Linked DNA regions of Lonchura striata. The protein of the gene in region 1 interacts with the protein of each later gene in a biochemical or structural test. Links are inferred from orthologs where the notes say so. Each region holds a gene or a part of one and is shown on either strand. Other genes may lie near its edges.

The links.
Region 2: the proteins of SNTA1 (region 1) and solute carrier family 2, facilitated glucose transporter member 3 interact in a test that uses a peptide from one of them, tested with the Homo sapiens proteins (2 studies listed by BioGRID and IntAct). The link is inferred for Lonchura striata from reciprocal best matches to the Homo sapiens genes SNTA1 and SLC2A3.

Annotation. Positions count from the first base shown.
Region 1 is NC_134619.1:12,416,702-12,426,088, forward strand, and holds the start of SNTA1 (alpha-1-syntrophin), read right to left. Parts: upstream 4,207-9,387; 5' UTR 4,170-4,206; coding exon 3,905-4,169; intron 1,645-3,904; coding exon 1,459-1,644; intron 1-1,458. UniProt on the Homo sapiens protein: Adapter protein that binds to and probably organizes the subcellular localization of a variety of membrane proteins. May link various receptors to the actin cytoskeleton and the extracellular matrix via the dystrophin glycoprotein complex.
Region 2 is NC_134604.1:31,302,183-31,312,050, reverse strand, and holds the start of solute carrier family 2, facilitated glucose transporter member 3, read right to left. Parts: upstream 3,931-9,868; 5' UTR 3,785-3,930; coding exon 3,770-3,784; intron 899-3,769; coding exon 803-898; intron 1-802. UniProt on the Homo sapiens protein: Facilitative glucose transporter. Can also mediate the uptake of various other monosaccharides across the cell membrane. Mediates the uptake of glucose, 2-deoxyglucose, galactose, mannose, xylose and fucose, and probably also dehydroascorbate.

The DNA.
Region 1 (9,387 bases):
AATTAATTAAGAAACCCAGCAGGTCATACTGAGCTCAGCAAGCTACAGCAAAGGCCCTGCCTGCAGCTGCCTCCCAGGAGGGAGACCTGGATCCCTAATATAATAAAAGATAATGGTGGGAGGGTGGTCTGAGAGCAGCGGCTCCAGGCAGGAATTTCACAAATTCACAAAGAAAGAAGCTCTTGTATTTTTCTTTGGTCAGAAAAGAACAACAAAACCATCCCACCACCAACCCTATCTGCTCCCAGCAGCTGTGCAGAGCAGCACATTCCTCCAGCTGAACCGTGGTCCTGAGGCTCCCAGGAGAGGAGGAACCCACAGTAGGAAGGGCTGAGCAAAGCTAAAAATTAAAATCTGGAGCTGAGACAATCTGGGGAAAGCAGAGGAAAGCCGGAGCCAGAGTGGTCGCTGGCAGCACAGCACACAGAACTGCTTTGTTCACGGACAGCCCCGAGCACTGCCCCCAAATCAAACCCCCCTTTGGGACCTGGGAAGGGTCTCTGGTGCCAAAACCCCCTGTAAACAGGGTGACCCCAGGGACTGTTGGAATGAGGGGAGGGGAAGGCTCCTTTCCCGAGGGACAGATCTGGGATGCTCATCACAGCCTGGCTGAGCTGGCAGAGGGTGGGCAAACATAGACAGATATGAGGTGAAGGGTAGCCAGAGAAGAATGGGGTCTCTCCCTCAGAACTCCCATGGTCCCAACCCAACAACCCCCACCCAGTCCTCAAGGAGGGCTTGAGGGGGCTCCTACAGTGTGCCAGCCCCCTCAGGACTTGGAGACACCAGGGATTATCTGCCTGGTACCAGATGGAGCCCATTCCCAGGGAACAGCCTGCTCCAGCATGGTGAAGGCTGCATCCCTGGGATGTTTGTAGCCTCAGCTTCCAGGGATCCCCTTGGTGGGTAGCATCCCCTGGATGGGTAGTTCCTGAGCAGGCCCTGCTGCACCCTCCACGTGCCCAAAACCCACCCAGCAAACCCCAAGGTGCTCAGCAGGAGTGGGGGACCAGTGCACCCTCTCTCTGCTGGCATAAACCTACACCAGCCAGAGATGTGGGTTTAAATTAAAACCAGGGGAAAAGCAGAAAATGTCTTCTCTTGCCCCAGGAACTGCAGACATGGGAGTGATGCTGTGCAATGAAAGAATCCCAAATTCCAGAAACTTGTCCCACACCTCCCACTGCTGCCTGCCTGAGGTCCCACAGTGGGGAGACAGAGCCTCTGGGCATGGAGTACTGGCACAGACATCCCTCCCTCTCCGTAAGGAGACAGGGAGATCCAGGGAGATCCCAGCAGTTACCTCCAGCTCTCCGGATGAGCAGACAAATTACTCTGCATATGTTGCTTTCCATTTGAAAGAGTATGCAAATGCAGCTGCAGATGATATGCCACCCCTGTGTCATCCCAGTACAAGAAGGAGAACCATTCTGCCCTCATCACATCTTTGTCTCCTACCTTCCAAGATCACTTCCTTGCCCGTCTTCTTCAAGGCCTGCACGGCCTCATCGTGGGTGGCCTCGGACAGGTCGGTGCCATTGACGGCGAGGATGGCATCCCCCACGTACAGCGCCTCGGTCTGGTCTGCTGCCAGCCCCTTAAAGATCTTGGAGATCAAGATGGGCATTTTATTCTCTCGGCCACCTTGAAACAGAAGAGACAGGGAGCGGTTGTGGCTGTAGGAGCGCTTGGAGGAGTGTGTGGGGAGAGGGATGCTGTGGTACCAGATGGTCTCAGCAAGGCTGAGCCTTTCTGCTGGCACTCAAAGCACCGTGCCAGGTCAGCCCACTGCCCACTCCCCCAGATACCCACAGGACACCTGTACCAACCACAGCAGCCAAAGTACCATGAGGCTTTACAGCTGATGAAGTGATTGCTCCAAAACCGCTCAGATTGGTCACGGATTATTCACAGAGTGAACACATAACCTGGCCATCTCCCCATCAGTTTTGGCAGGAAAGTGTATCGTTATTTGCATTATTAATCATGTATGCTGAGCAACTATCCTGGCTCTAAGGACTTTATGATCTCAACAGATAACACAGCTGAATGTTTTTGGAGAGGCCAAAGAGGCAGGGAGAGGTAAACCAATCTGGCTGCATGTTCCTGTCCACACAGCAGCCCTATTTGCCGGGTGCTCCCCACTGTCCTGACTAAAAGAATGTTATTCAAACTCCCGGCGGCTTCAGGAGATCAATTTGCACATCGACTTTTGAACCCGCAGGGAGATCCGAGCCGCCTCCGTGCCAGGGCACAGGGATGCAGCAGCCATTGCCCGTGGCAGCCGGGGATCAGCAGTGCCCGATGTGCCCCGCGCCCCGGGACAGCCTGTCCCGAGGAGTCTCCAAGAGATAATCCTCATCCCAGAGGGAGATGCTGAGCGCAGCCCGCTGTCACTGCCCGCCCCGGGCTGCTCCCAGCCGGTGCCACAGGCATTTCCTCGCTCAGCCGCCTGCCAAGCCAGTGAGGGCTCCGGTTATCAGCTGTCAGAGGCCCCGGCGGGGGCTGCTCCGTCCTTGCGCCAGCGGCTCCTCGCCCGGCTGCCAGTGCCGAGAGCCCTGCCAGAGCTAAGAGCCTCCGCCAGCCCGGCTCTCGCTCGGCTCCCCGCTGTCCTGACAGCCCCAAGCCACGTCCTGCGGCAGGACATTCAACCCCAGGTGGCACCCAGTGTCCCTGCATGAAGCACGGCTGGCACATGAACAGCGACATGCCAGCAGCTCGGTGAGGAGATTGTCCTGCCCTACCAAGGCTGCCCCGCCCTCCACAACTCCTTCCACTACCCATTTTTGATGGCAACTACATCTTTTCCACATACGTCACTGCAAAAGTAAAGTTTTAACTGAACCAAGGGAAGTTTCTCCTTTCCTGGAGGAGCCACAGAGCAAGCAATAACTTGGCAGCCATGGGGTGGTTACGAAAGGGGGTTTGTGCTTCCCAAAAAAAGGGCTGGCACGCTGGGGCACCCTGCAGACACGGCCAGCAGTGTCGATCCAGTTCCAGCAGCCGCACATTCACATTGCAAAACCTCCCCACTACCAGAGGGAGCCGGAGGCTGCGTCTGTGCCCCCTCTGAGCTGGGAGGAGAAGCCACGTCAGGAGGGGAGAGCTGTCCTGTCACTGCCCCGGGGCGGCCCGCTGCCTCTCACAGCCACGCTCCGTGACAGCCCTGTCCCTGTCTCCGCGCTGCCCTTTTCATCCTGCTTTCACAGTTTCCAACACGCTCGGAGCCCCGTGAAAATCAAAGGCAGGCAGAAAGGCAGGAACGGCACTGCCCTAAGAAGTTTCCAGCCTGAAGTTCAGGCGAGTCACCAAGGAGCGGAACAGCTCGGGAGGGAAAACAGACATAAAACAGAAAGGCTTCCCGGGAGCACATCTCCAAACTCGAGCGCGCTGGTTTAACACCCCACCCAGCGCCGGCAGATCTCCCGGGGCTTTACATCCCTCCCTTCGTTTTGCTGACAGCTTTAAAGGGGCATTTCCCAACTCAGGAACACGGTAGGACAAGGACACGCCGGCCCAGCCCTCCTTTTGGCTGCAAAAGAGAAACTTTCGCGTAACCCGGTGCCCCCAGCACCCCACCCGTGGGTGAAGGGGACAGCGGGTCTCCCACCGGCTCACAAACCCTGGGGTCCCTCACCCCGGTCGGGCACGGCGGGCAGGCACTGGCCGGTCACTCCGCACCCCAAATCATCGCTCTTTCCGTAGGCTGGGAATGGTTCGGTGCCGTCACTGCCACGTATCCCCTCCCCGTGCTAAGCTGGGGCTGGGGACGGTGAGGACCCCGACCCCAGCCCCGCTCCCCGCGGGGCTCGCTCCGAGCGAGCCGCGGGACCGCAGCAGCAACAGGTCCCGCTGCCGATGCCCTCTCCCCACGCCGCCCCGGGACCCCCGGGCCCGGCCTCACCTTTTATGCTGATGCCGAGCCCCCCCACGTCCTGCTTGACGACGCGCACGGTGCGCCTGATGTTGGCGAGCGCCTCGGGAGCGGCGGAGCCCGGCTCGCCGCCGTTCAGCTGCGCCGCCGGGGCCTCGGGGCCGGGCCCGGGGCCGTCTGCGGGGCTGACCCCCAGCACGTCCTCGGCCAGGGTGAGCAGGACGCGGAGCCACTGCCCGCTGGGGCCGCGCAGCTCCAGCAGCCCGGTGCGCGGGGCGCGCCTGCCCGCCGCCATCTTCGCGCGCTCCGCGTCCCACACCGCCCCGCGCCGCCCCTCACACCGCACCGCCCGCCCCGCGCCGCCCCTCACACAGCACCGCACTGCCCGTCCCACACCGCCCCTCGCACCGCCCCGCGCCGCCCCTCACACCGCTCCGCACCGCCCGTCCCACACCGCCCCACACACCGCACCGCCCGTCCCACATCGCCCCTCACACCGCCCCTCACACCGCACCACACCGCCCGTCCCACACCGCCCCTCACACCGCTCCGCACCGCCCGTCCCACACCGCCCCTCACACCGCCCCGCGCCGCCCCTCACACCGCACCGCCCGTCCCACACCGCCCCTCACACCGCCCCGCGCCGCCCCTCACACCGCACCGCCCGTCCCACACCGCCCCTCACACCGCCCCGCGCCGCCCCTCACACTACCCCGCGCCTTCCCACACCGCCCCTCACACCGCTCCGCACCGCCCGTCCCACACCGCCCCTCACACCGCACCGCACCGCCCGTCCCACACCGCCCCGCGCCGCCCCTCACACCGCACCGCCCGTCCCACACCGCCCCTCACACCGCCCCTCACACGGCACCGCTCGTCCCGCACCGCTCGTCCCACACCGCTCGTCCCACACCGTCCCGCACCGCCCCTCAACACCCCGCGCATCGCTCGTCCCACACCGCCCCTCACCGCCCTGCGCACCGCCCTGCACCGCCCGTCCCGCACCGCCTGATCCTCACCGCCCGTCCCTCACCGCCCCGCACCGCTCCACGCCGCCCCTCAGCGCCCCGCGCACCGCTTATCCCCCGTCCCACATCGCCCGCACCGCCCCTCACCTCCTATCCCGCACCGCTTCTCCACACCCTGCACAGTCTCTCCGCACCGCCCCTCAGCGCCCCGCACCGCTCCGTGCCCTGTCCCCTCCCGCCACACACCGCCCCGCAGGACCGGGACACAGCCCTGGGAGAGACCGGGACCGCGGCTCCGTCCCATTCCCTCCCGGGACGGGGCACCGGGATGCTCCCCAGTGCTCCCCGCACCAACCCGGGACGGGGCACCAGGAACAGACACAGCTCCGCGGTGCTCCCCATCATGGAATGGGGCACAGGGAAGAGCACAACTCCCCGGCGCTCCCCGCTCCATCTGGGATAGGCACCGGGAGGACACGATGTTCCCAGTGCTCCCCAGCACTGCCTTCTCCAGCCCGGATGGAGGGGCACCAGAGGGACACGGCGCTCCCCAGGGCTCCCCATGCCTGCCCACGAGGGACACAGCTCTCCTCTCCATCCTGGGATGGACACAGGGCTCCCCATTGTATCCTAGGACAGACACCTGGAGGGCCCAGTGCTCCTTAGCTCTTCCCATTCCAGCCTGGGATGGGGAGACCAGAAAGACACGACTCTGGCCTGGATGGAGCATGGGGAGAGGCCAGGACACCAGGGCCCCACTGGTCCATCCTGGGATGGGACTCTGGAAGAGCCTGGTTCTCCCCTCACCATCCTGGGATGGGGCACCAGCAGGGATACAGCTCCCCAGTGCTCCCCAGTGCTCCCCAGTGCTCCTTGTTCTGGCCTGACACAGGGCACCAGGAGGACCTGGCACTTCCCACTCCATCCTGGGACTGGCATGGGAAGGGACACAGGCTCCCAGCTGCTCATCCCAAAACTTGCCCCCACACTGGACATTTTGGGTGTCCCTGCGCTGGGCTGTCACAGGAGGAGCAGTGGGAGCTGGGCACAGAGCTGTGGCTCATCCCAGCGGCCACAGCCAGGGCAGGAACTTCCCTAGAGTCCCAATGGGTGTTAAACAGGAGCTGGGCAGGGGGACATGGTGTCTGCAGACATTCAGACAAGTCTGCATTGCTTTTTCCTTACTTGCCCTGGATCTTGAAAACGCGAGTATTTTTACATCCTTGGCAGACACTCATTCTTACTGTATTAATTAGGACTAGAAAATACCTCCAGGAGTAGCAAATCACTCTTGGCACATCCCCTCTGCCCCTTGCAGAGTGTTTCAAGCAGTGCCAGGAGCCTCTGGGACAGGACTACTGAGGTCTCAGCCCCTCTGGAAAGCACAAGGATTTGTAAGAATTCTGTAACATTTATGGCTGGCTGAGAAGTGGGTGGAGAGAAGCTCTGGGCACCTGAGGCAGGGGGGCTGCAGCATGTGCTGCTCAGCACAGCCCTTCCCAGCCAGGGGCTGCAGCCAGCCCTGAGCATCAGCCTCACACAGAGGAGAAAAATGCTCCCTGGGCTCCCTCCCACGCAGTAGCAGCTGTGGAATTTCTTGAGGTTGCAGCAGAGAAAACCCTGAAGGTTATTTCTTTACAAAACAGATGCTTTACATATTCCTGATTTTCTTTTCACTAAAATGTTCGGGGTTTAAGTGACACTTTGCCTTTGCAGTATGGTGATGCTCACTGTGGCAAGCACTTCTACATCACCCCAAGGATATTCCCCTCTGATCCCATCCCCTGTCCAGTGCCTCTCTCTTTGGGAACAGCAAGGGGACTTTGGTCTTTCGGTCCTCAAGTGGACACAGAGCTCATTCCCCCTGAGCTACATGCCTTGGGAGCACTCACTTTATTTTCCAGTCAGGCAGCTGCAATCAGCAGTTTGTCCAGCTTTTTTTTCATTCCCAAGAGCTGCTTTTGATAATTCCATCCTCTAAGGGCCCATTCCCATCTGAGCCAGCAGTGGGATCTCTGAACAGCTCTCAGTGCAGCAGAACAGCACCATTTGGGTTGTTCCCTTTCATTTCTCAACTCTGTGCCCCGAGGCAGGGATGCTGATAAGCATGGCCTGGATGCATGGAAGCCATCCAGATGGTTCCAGTGCCTTTCCCTGTGCTGCTGCTGGGATGGAGAAAGCACCATGGTCCTTGAATCCAGGTCACAGCACTCTGACTTCACCTCCTTTGGGGAAACAGCCTCACCCTGTGAGTGCAGCGAGGCCACTGCTCAGTGACCCCAGCAGAGAGCACATCCCCCAGCCACCACTTCTGCCTGGCTGTGGGACCCCCTGCTTCAGTAATTAATATTCCTGTGATACAGCAATTAATATTCCTATGACACAGCAATTAATATTCCTATGTCAACTTATGTGGGATAGACACCCCAGGCGAGTACTGCAGGTGGTGTCTTCTAATGGAAACAAGGAATTCAAAGTGCCCTTAAGACCCCAGTCCCAAACTGGGAGGTTCACCCTGAGCAGGGGGTCCATCAAATAGGGCTGACAGACTGGTGAAGTACTGGGGGCTTGGCTCCAGCACTGGGGGGCTTGGCTCAAGGTTTAATCAAAGACAGGAATCAATCACTTGCTGTCTCCTCTGCACACCTAGGCCTGGCAAGAGCTGTGGCCTGAGAAAGTGGACATGCCAGGATGTTCTTGGAGGTCTCTGTGCCCCCTAAGCAGAGATGTTGATGTTCTGGGGTTTTCCACAGGCTTGGCTCCTCCAGGCTTCCCCACTTCTTTTTAGGGGCTCCTTCAGGCTTCCTCACTTCTTTTTAGCCCTTTCCTGTCTCAGGGCACACGGTGAGCACTGGGAACCCAGCACACAGAGTGGTCCCAGCTCGATTTGACCCTCACAAGATACCATGAGCATAATTCCCATGCCGTGGAGCTGTAGGACAGAGGCTGGGATGACAGGGAGAAGTCTCTGGCCAGGGCTGGCATGCAGGAGTGAGCTGCAGCTTCCAGGAATGCCAGTGGCGTTCGTCAGGGCTCCTGTGAAAGCGAGCAGGCGGGGGAGGAATTGCTTGAAAAATTGCTATTCACAGAAATAGAAACTTCCCGCAGAAACACGCGTGCGTCGGTGACAAAAGCCCAGCTGGGAATTTCTCCTGGCAGCAGGAGCAGTGGGAGGGGAAGGGGCTGGGGAGTGCAGGAGGTTGAGGTGCAGGACTGGGGGTGCTGCCAGGGCCCTGACCTCAGCCCTGAGGGAAATTGCTGCTTTTTAGCTAGAAAAAACATCTCTTGACTCCATTATCCTCCAAACAGTCCCCAGGAGAAGGATCTGGCAGTGTGGCAGTGAAGGGCTCTGTGCCCCCCACCCTGAACCATCCCCTCCAGCAGAATTTCCTTCATGGCTGTTGGGATACTGCAGAGAGTGCAGAGGCCCTGGCACAGGTGCCCAGAGCAGCTGTGGCTGCCCCTGGATCCCTGGCAGTGTCCAGGGACAGACTGGGTGAGGCTTGGAGCAGCCTGGGACAGTGGAAGATGTCCCTGCCATGGCAGAGGGTGGGATGGGATGAGATTTAAGGTACCTTCCAACTCAGACAATGCTGGGATTCCACATTTGCCCAGCTGATTTTCATGGCAGGTTTAAGCCATCCTGGCATTGTCTCTGCCAATTCTCTCCAGCCCCCTGAACCCCACAGTTAAGCAGCTATTATTAGTCCCATTTCTTGGCATAGCCAGGAGCTGTGTCAAAGCCCACCAGTCTATTTATAGAGTGCTGTGAGCTGGTTTGTTATTTGTGTTAATTGAATTAATCCCTTCTGAAGAAAAGAGTTGAAGAGCTCACGTTCAGTCCCTGGGACAACATTCCCAAGCTGTGGGGATCCAGGCAGCATCTCAGGCTGCTCACAATCCTTAGCCTTCAGCACCAGGGAAGGGCTGCTGTGCTCAGTGTTCCTGAGAATTCATGGAAGGGGATGATACCAACCCTACCCTGCAGGACTGAGACTCATGAAACACTGCAAGGGACGGAAGGGAAATAGCTTTTATTATCTAGATAGATTTTAGGCTAGATATTAACAGATTTAGATATGCAATATGTACTTAACAGATGGATTCATCCGTCACTATGCAGAAAACACAGCAAAAAAGTGTGATTCTAAAGTACCTGACTTTAGAATCACTGGGATCTCCAAGTCCTTTAGAGTGTTTCTGTCTGCATTGGGGCATTACTAGTCCCTACAAAGTTTCTTCCATCTCATGCAGGCTCTTCCCTTACAGATCCCTGTAAGATAACCAGTCAGCTGGGAAAATGCTTATGCCACTGCATGGCAGCTCATATGTTAACAGAGCAGGATCATTTAATCAAGGAACAAGAGACTGTATGGGAAAAAGCAGTACCCAGAAGCTAAAATAATTTCAGAAAGGCAAAAGTTGTCACACATTAATGCCCAGTCACTACCTTCTGCAGTTTTGGCTCTCTGATGCTCTTAAGACCAAATGGTATCAGTAGCATGGCTGCTGATCAGATAATGGACATAAATTATTAATAAAATC
Region 2 (9,868 bases), on another chromosome or scaffold:
AAAAATTGTTTCTATTTTACATAATGCCATCCCGGGGGATGTGACAGGGCCACGTTGCTGATTTCCCAGGCATCCTCTTAGCGAGTGAGGTAAATTGTGGCCTGGGCTGGTGGGTGGGGGGACAGAGTGCCTGCCCCCAGCAGATGGCAGCAGGACATTAACTAGGGAGGACTGACCCCATCCCCCATCCCGTCGTGAACATCTCTTCCCGGAGACAGGGTGGATGTGGTATTCGTGACTCAGTTCTTGACAGAGGAACCATCTTAAAGTTACATGAAAACTGCATCTCTCATTTTCTTCACCTCTTGTTTCTTAGGCTACAGTCATAGGATGATTTCGTCAAATGTCCAAGTCACAACCCTTTTTACAAGCACTGAATCTACGCTTAACACAAGGAACGAATAAACAAGTAAAATAAACTAAATTAGGGCAGCTGTAATTCCTACCAACCCTTCACTGTTTTCTGTACACTGCTCTCTACATTCTTTCTGCCATGGTTGGTTTATTCTGACTCAAAACCAAGGCAGCTCACATTCCTCCACACACCACATATAGTAGATGAAGCCCTCCTGCCCTTCCTGTGCTCCTAATTATGAGAATTAACCCATTTGCTCTCTCCCCTTCCCAGAACTTTGTCCTTCCTGTTCAATGCTGTATTTGGACGGCAGTTTTAAATGCCTTACTGATTTCATAAACCAAAACCAAATTACTGGGTGCTTGGGAGACAGTCCCTCTCCTTTATACATAATTTTCTTCCCATCAGCCCCTCGTCCGTCCCACCTCCCCAGCTCATTCCTCTCACCTTCTCAGGTGCATTAATGACACCAGTGTTGTACCCAAACTGGAGAGATCCAATGGCAGCAATGCAAACAGCATAGACAAGAGGCGCTGTGATTTTCTGTGGGAAGAGGGGGAACAATTATTTAGTTAATTCGGCTTTCTACACAACTTTAGCTTCTCTTCAGCATAAACAGCAGCTGAGCTCATAGGTGCCAAACGCAAGTGCTCTGAGGGCAGGGAATGGGCTTTTATCCAGCAAGTACCAGTTGCATCCCTTGGATCCCCCTCCCGGAAAGAGACATGCAACTGTACAGCAGGAAAAGTTCTGTGGCTACAAGTAGGAGGGCTTGTCAGGGCCTCCCCTTTATTATCTCCTGACCTTCAGCAACTATTCTCAGCTCATTAGTAATGAATACACTGCCTGCATTAGTGGCTGTTATTTTGGGTTGATCTGCTTTACAGAAGCTTTTGCTGATCTCTGGCATGTCATGAAAGAAGAGTCTAACTCTTCCCTGAGCCAGCTGACAAGTTCACATAAATTGAGACTCAGAGCTGCCCATGAGCTACACTGGCAGTCACTCACAACAGTTACAACACGCACTCCCTTCCGCAACAGGCTTGTTTTTCCCAGGCTAGGGCTTCCCAACCCTGCCCCAGGGCACTGGCACGGCAGCGTGCCTCAAGAGGTGGCAGCAGTTGCTAGCAAGCTCCCCGTCTATTTTTCTTTAATTTTTCTTTGAGCTGTGGCAATAGTTGCTATCTCAAATGAAGCACACTCCCCGAAGTTTCAGTAGACCTGAACCTCCATTACATTAAAATAAAAACGGCTGAGCCCTCAGAGCCATAGGGAAAGCTTAAAGGCCCAACCTCAGAAGTCCCACAGTCTGAGAAATTTAAGTGTCAGCAAAAATAATCTGACATTTTATTCATTTTTAAAGCTTGTGGCATTTAAGCCAGCTCCGAGTGAGGGAGGTGTGGGGGAGCAGGTGACTCAGGAGTTGGCACTTAGGCAGCCACTGCCTGAGTTGGCACAATTTGGAAAGATTGTGTTCCTTCCCATCTCAGGAGGTTTGGAAGCTTTTCCAAAAATATTAACAGTTCCTTTTCCAAGACTTTCCAATTATTGTACTTTAGGCCTGGCAGAGAAAACTACTAGGTGAGGCCTACTATCACAGCTCTTCCAGTCTCTCACTTTCTAGCTCCAGGAGTAGTGGCTCCCAAAAGTGCCCAAAGCTTTTGACCATAACCTTCTGTTGGTGCTCGTGCCACCTCTAACACGCTTTCAAGCCTGGCACGAATGTGCTTCTGACCTGAACAACCCTCAGACATGAGCAGTTCTGCCTCAATAAACAGAATTTGGGGGAAGGACTCTCAGGGATGGTTTCCTACACCGACCTACATCAAGTAAATGTCCTCCTGCCCAGGTCAGTGGTGGAGACAAAGTGGACAGGGGGCAGATGAGCACGGAGGTAGCATTCACACCTGAACACACCCTAGGCAGTGCAGCATTCTCCCTGGCACCCTGTGACCACTCCACTCATTTTTATCTCAAGGAAATTTGGCACAGAACCACAAGGACACAGCTCTTTCAAAGCATCTGGATGCATATAGAAATGCATTATAACATCTAAGCAGTTTTGGGACTCCAGGCCAGGTCATCTCTAGCCAGCAGGTATGGCAAGGCTGCAGACAAACCCCAGCTCTCCACATGGCTCACACAGGAGCACTTTTCCCCCAGGACTGTGCTTTGTCATGGCTTGCAGTGACCACAGCTGGCCTTTTACTTCTGGGTGCTGCAGGGACCATAAGGTCCCTGCTTTGTGGGCACCCCTCACTTACATGGTACATAAATGAGCTACTGGGCGAGTTGCTCTACCCAGTTTCATACTTCCTTCTCCTGGCTGTTGCCTGCTATTTGCCTCCTGCCCAGCCTCCCATCACATGCCATGACCCATCTCCTCCAGTGAGCCAAACTGTGATCTAATGTATGGATCATTTGTTAGTGCTGCAAGTGCCTCGCTTCCCAAAAGGCAAACAGGGAGCTCAAAAATAGTACAGCTACACCCACTCTATCCAAAGGCTCAAGGCTGAGGTCTGTACAGCAGCACGGCATTCAAACCGCTATCCCTCCCTCCGACCACAGGCGTCGGCAGCATTCATTTTCAGGAGATGCTCCTCACCAGCTCCCCTCCTTCACTGCCTCCATCCCCAGAGCGGTACAACTTGTTGAGCCCGGCAGGAGTGGCCTCGCCCGCTTCTCTGAACGACCTTGACCAGACGCTCTCCTTTCCTCTGCCTCATCCTCTGACACTGCCCCCACATCCCACCAACATGGCGATGAGAGGCCCGGCCTTCTCCAGTTCTGGCTGTTCCCGTGTAATTCCCCGGCATCCCGCCCCAGGTCCAAGGCTGGTCACCCTTAGTACGTTCAAATACACGCCATCATGAGCTCACTCCACTGCTGCACACGAGCAGACACCGACAAATATCCCCTGCTCTCCATCTGAGGAGGGGAAGGACATGCTCTGCCACTTTCTTGAGATTTAAAAATGCCTTTATAAGTTATATTGCCACCCACGAAAAAAAAAGTCTTTAACATCAGTCCCCCGCTCAGCATCCCAACCTGGGACCAACCGAGTGCGGCGCCGCCAGCGAAACAAACCTCGTGATCAATATCCTACAACGCGGACAGCATCATGTGCATCATCAGGCCACGCGCACGAAACCAAAATCGATCGCGCGACCTGCGACAATCTTTCCCAAACGGCACGGTCCCCCTCCCCCCACCCCAGACAGAACTGCCAAAGGCCGACCAGCGGTCCTGCCGGGACCACCACCGCATCCATCCCCACGGCGAGCCGCAGGCGACCGCCGGCCGCGACCGCATCCCTCCCCCCAGCCCTCCGCCGAAGCGCCCGCGGAGCCGAGCCCCGAGCGGCGGCCGCAGCGGGGGGAAAGGGCGAGAAGGAGCCCGCGTTCGCCGCCCTACCTTCTTGGTGTCCATGGCCGGAGGCTGCCGGTGCCCGACTGCCGGCGAACGCCCACCCGCCGCACCTAACGGAACCCGCGAGAGGCGCCGCCCACGCCCGGGAGTGCCGCGAGCCCGCCCCGTGCCCGCCTCCGCTTTATACGCTCCGCCGGGGGAGGGGAGGCGGCGGGGCGTCGCCCTGCCCGAAGCACGGCGCTCGCCGCGCTCCCCCGCCGCTCACGCCCCCCGTGACGGCGCTCTGCGTGCGGGGCTGCCGGGCGGTGATGGAGCGGCCCGGGCGGGGACAGCGGGGTGGCCGAGGGGCGGTGGCCCCGCTTCCCCCCGCCGCGGGCACCGCGCAAGGACCCGCCGCGCCGCGGATGCCACGCGCGAAGCGCTGGCTAGTGGCGCAATCCGTGTTTTGGGCTGTTTGCAGCGACAGCGTGACGTAAAACCACGTCTTTATTTATTATTTGATGTATATAAAAATAAATGTCTTTATTATTGGGTGTGTAAGCTACAGCAGCACGGCGGGCAGTGACGGTGCAGAGGCAGGCACGCAAACAGCACGGGCAGTAGCCTGAAGGCGAATGCCGTGCGCTGCGGGTGCTCCCACCGCCTCGCAAAGCTGTGGATGAAGTAGAGTTCTGGGCAGTTGCGTTTCGGGGATTTTTTTGTTTGTGTGGTTGCCAAAAATATATTTTTCATACGATGCTAGAATCTGCGGGGGCAAAGCTGAATTTGGATCTAGTCCCAGACTTAAAACCCTTCCTTACAAGGGCATGTAGTGACAGGACACGGGGGAATGGCTTCAAAATAACAGAGGGCAGGTTTAGATTAGGTAATAGGAAGAAACTCTTTACTGTGAAGGTAGTCCGACACTGACAGAGATTGTCCAGAAAAATTGGGGATGCCCCATCCCCGGAAGCCCATAAGGCCAGGTTGGATGTGGCTTTGAGAAAAAAAGTAGAAAGTGTCATTGCCCATGGTAGGGAGAAAGAAGAAAATTATTTTTAAGGTCCTCTCCAACTTAAATCGTTTATGAGTCTATAATTCAATCAAACGCTACCGTGCTCCACATTTACTATCCATCCTTCAGGTCAAACGCTTGCCAAACTCTTCCAAGAGAATGATGAAGAGCTGTGCTTTGAATCAAACAAAAGTGCTGCCAAACAACAAAAGTCTTCACTGAATTAAGAATCTGTCAAGGACTTTGACTTCAGAAAACACGCAGCTGGGGGCAAGGACAGTGAGGGAAAAAAAGCTGACTTACCCTGTTTTTTATTGTTAGGCAAAATACCTTGAGACCAGACACCACTTTTGCCATCAAATTCTGGGGAACTGGAACAATCACATTTTAAATTCGATTCTGCTGTTTATTTGGTGTCGTCACCTGGCCACACTAACTGGAAATTAACAGGGCAAAGCTTTCCTTCACTCACTTTCAGAAATACCCGTTTATTTTACGGCATTCATGAGAGTGAGTGATAAATGCCGTCACGAGGTGTTTATATGTCATATTTATTTGATAAATATCTAATGGGTATTCCGTGTATTGTTGTTAAAATATTATTGCCAGCAGAAAAAGAGTATAAGGGCACGGGATGCCTGCACAGTCCCCCTTCTTCGGCTGTGTGACAAAAACGCCTCTTCACACCCACAGGGGAGCACGGAGGGACAATGGCAGAAGGAGGGCCCCAACTAACACTCCGCCCCAGCTACTCCCCGGCCCCTCACAAGAGCCATTAGCACATCAAAGGTTCCATTTTCATACACCCGGAGGTAAACAGGAACACAATTGCCAGGTGACAACCCGGATTAAGGACACCCCGCCTGGGCCAGCAGCTCTGGAGAGTCATCAACCCAGGTGTGAAATTCATCACAAAGCCAAAGCTGGAGCACCTTTCAAACTGTGAAAGAGGAGGTGCTGTGTTCAGGGGAACAGACACCTTACAGGATGCACGGGAAGAGCATTTGGGGCTTGTAGGAGACTTACAATGGGATGCTTAGGGGAGGAAACAAAGAGGGGAAAGGAAGAGATATGGGGAAGAAGGGACACTTACTTGCATGAAAATTCTTGGCTGACCAGCAAAAGTGTCCAGCCTTGTCCTGCACTTGGTTAGCACAATTTGCCCTATCTCGTTGTTAAATCCTATTTTTAGCTGTGAGGTGCTCTCTATAGGGGTGAGTACCACTGGTGTCTGCTTGTCTCTAAGGGTGAGGCCATGCCAGGTTGGCTCCTGGGGGGACCAGGAGTGTCTTGGCCATCCGTGCACACACCTCTGTGTGTGTGTGTGCCAGCAACGGGAGCGGAGCTGCAGCCTTGTGCCAGCATCAGCGAGACTGATGTCTGTGGCCCAGCTCCTTGGAAGGATCCACCTTATCATATTTATATGTTTATTCCCACTGCCGGAGCTCCCTCCTCCTCCTGAGAGGTCACTGGTGCTGTTTGTGTAACTGCACCGTGTGGGTTTATGCACGTGCCTCCAGGGAATACAGGGTCATTCTTGCTACTGGGAGCAAGGAGCGGTGTCAGCCTCACCTCTGTCCAGCCTAATTCCCTAACACTTTGTTCGAGTAATTCTGGCTCGAATTTTTCTTTTTCCTAGCTTATTTTCCATTTGTTTGCAAGCATAGCAAGCTCCACGTTGAATCTGATTACACAGCTGTCCCAAACTCTGGCATTAGCTCTGGAAATATTCATTTACTTGTTAGCGTGAGAAGGTGCCATATTTGTGAAAGCTTTAAGCATATTCACATTTCAGAGACAATCTTTGGACCGCATTCCTCTGAAATGTCCTTATTCGTTGTTTATTCTTAACACACATAAGTCTGTTGCAAATGCTGAGCAATCCAAACTACAAGATTAGATTAAATACATACATAGCTACCGGTCCAGTTTAGAAGCAATAAACGTATAGCTGAAAATTAAATCTCACATAAACACATAATGCAGAACATCATGGGTAGCACGTCTTTATTTAACCAGAGCTGGAGAAGTAATAAGAAAGACTGTTTCTTTCTCAAGCTCAAAATGCATCACTGAAACCCCACTTTCCATAAGGAATGTGCAGGAAAATACCCATTTCAGTGAGTTCTGCCCCTGTGTGCTGATGCTCAAATATTTAGATTTGAAGTTTGCATCACACCCTGTGCCTCCTAAATACCAGTTTTGTTTCTGTCCCAGGACACACACCTACCTCCCACATCACGGCTAATTCTGAAGATCAGCTGCTGGAGGAAGTACCTTAATACCTCCTTAGCAGAGCTATCTGATAGTGCACCAAAGCTATCCATCCAGTCTATTTGTGAATATAATAATCGTGTATTATGCAAAATGCAGTAATTGTGCTAGGATGAAGGCCCATGGCATGTGGGCAGCCAGACTTAAGGTTGCTAGGGGAAGGGCCAGGCAGAACGGATCCCAAGCTGAACTGATGCGGACTGCCCCACATTAAACACTGGTATCCTAACCACAGAGCTGTGGGGATTGGGAAAGGCTTGTCTTTTGCTTAACAGGCTTTTTTCTTTTTAGCTTTGAGAACGCTTGCATGTCTTAACTAGTGCATGCCAACTAGCATTTCACTTCCAGGGAGCTTACATTTTCTGAGGAAAGCTGGTTTAATCAGAGAATTTCTATCTAACATTAAGCAAGAGCTCCAACGATGAGCAAGCCTGTTCTTATTTTAATTTATCTCAGGGACTGGAGCTGGCATGTGACCCCCATAGAAGCACCCTGCTGTGGCTTTTTGAGAACCTCAGTGGAGGTCTAGCAGGTACAGTTCTTTGGCAAACACATTCACACATTCCATATACACAAGGCCTTGGCTCAAGGCACAGATGAGGAGAAGGTGCCAAAAATTAAGTCCTTAAAAAAAAAAATCCCTAGCATTTTTGGTCCTGTCTATGCCTCTACAACCTAATGGGAGCACAGACTGATTCACTGGGATTGATCAACCACAGGATCATCACACTGCTGTCCAAACTTCTGGCAAGCTATATTTCACCTACTTTATTGAATCTGCCCAAGTTGCAGTTCAGTGGTGCTGCCCTATATGATGAGGCTCTTTCCAGTCTCTTTTGCCTCCAAATTTGGCGACTCCTATCTCGTGTTTCTTCTTATTTTGCCTGGAGAACAAATTCTTCAGAGATAAGAGGAGCGGGGACAAGGAGGATTATTATGCAGTGTTTGCCTTGAGAGCTGATTTTGTGCTTTACTGTTTGTTGTGTTTACAACAAAAGAACATTCAGAACAAAGAAGAGAGAATGAGAGCCAGCATGGGCCAGATGCTTCCCCCTCAAGCCATGAGTAACTTTTATTGTTGAGAGGAGGTTAGGAGGAGGGGGGGAAGAAAAGGAGGAAAGATGAAAGAGAGAAACAAGATGATGGGTGGGATGTAGGTCGGCCTGTAAACAACAGGAGGTTAAGCGAGTGAGAAAAGAACCAATGGAGAGACAGAAGCCAAAAACAAAAGGGCATAATGACGTGAAGAAAGAAAATACTAAAGCAGATTAGAAGGGCAAAGCAGAAGAATAGAAGAGAAAAGGAAGGAAAAGACAGCAGCAAAATATCAGAGGGAAAAGGATAACTTTTGAATAGTCAGAAAAGATGAACAGAGAGGTACAGGAGGAAGCTACAAAATCACCCAGCTGAAAAAGCACAGACATAGCACTGGAGAGACCACAGCAGTAAACCCAAGGCACCTTTAAATTCTGCCCTCAACCACGGTGCAGTGTAGGCTGAAGCTACTGTCTGAAAACTTTGGTCATTAAGCTGGCTGGTTAATTTGATGTGAGCTAAAGTTAAAAGTTTTAATACTCTCACCGTTGCTTTCAAAAGGGGAAGTATCTGTTGTAAAAAAAAAAAAAAAAAAAAAAAAAAAAAAAAAAAAAAAAGAAAAATCAGCGGAATGAATAGTTCTGCAGAAATGCACATGCTGGAGAGGAAACCAGCATCCCCTTGAAAATTTTATCCTGCTGTATGTGAAAGATACGACAACCCCCTGGAAGTCCTCTAAGGTTTCCTAGTCCCATTTCCTGTAACACTTCATGCCTTGTCCTTTTCTTTTCTTCTGACTAGAAAAAGACTCCTGGCCTGCATCTACGCCACAGGTCTGCTTTTTTTCTCATTGATTTTGCCTCGTGAAACCAGGCTTTCTAGCAGAAAGGAGCAATATACCTGTACATTTGCCTTCCCTTGCACTATTTATTTATCTGATTTTATTCTAACACTGGTTTGTATCTCAGAATAGCAATAATTAAATATGTGCATGTGACTCACAGAGAATGTTCTAAGTACACTCTTTTTTTTTTATTATTTTATTTTTACCACAAGCAAATGTCCTTCTTATGATCTCTCTCTCTGGTTTTGCCTCCTTTCTTCTGGAATGTACAGGTGAACTACAACTGAAACTGCCCCAAAGCCCATGTCCCAGTCATAAACTGGGATGCTGCAGCATCTGGGATGGAGGAGACAGCAGCAGAGCTGTGATGGGAGCTCAGGAGTGACTTATTCAGGAGGTTGCAGGGCTGCAAGATGTGGTTTGGGTTTTTTCTGTATCAGTCACTGTATCACACTGTGTTTTTTTCCACAGAAAGAAACTAAACTAAACTTTCTCCTGAGCAAGGAACTAAATTTGAAGGGCAATGTAAGAAACCAACCTGACTAATGAAGTTCAATTAAAGCCCATCAGCATAAGCAGAGAAAAAAAATTGTACCAAGATGCGAAATCACAAAGGGAATTTCCTTGCAAAGTATTATAAATAAGAGATAAACCCAGTTCAGGAGAGTGGTTGTACTAGGGTCAGTTCATGAGGAGGTCTGGAGGGGAACAGAAGGTGTAGGATAGAAGGAATTAGGGTTCCCAGTCATCTGAGCCCCCCTTGCTTCCCTCCTTTTCCCAAGGGCTGAGCAGTACATGTGTAAGGACTGGGCTGGTTTTGCTGAGTCTTCACAAAACTAATCTTTACATCATATTGGTGAAGAAGTGACTATATTCAGACGGTAAAATGTAATGTCTTAAGGAAGGTGGGAAACATTTTTCCTCTGAAAGACAGAAGCAGGAACTCTGGTACGTGCGGGGCACTGTGCCAGCCTGAGGGAAGGACGATGGGAAGTCT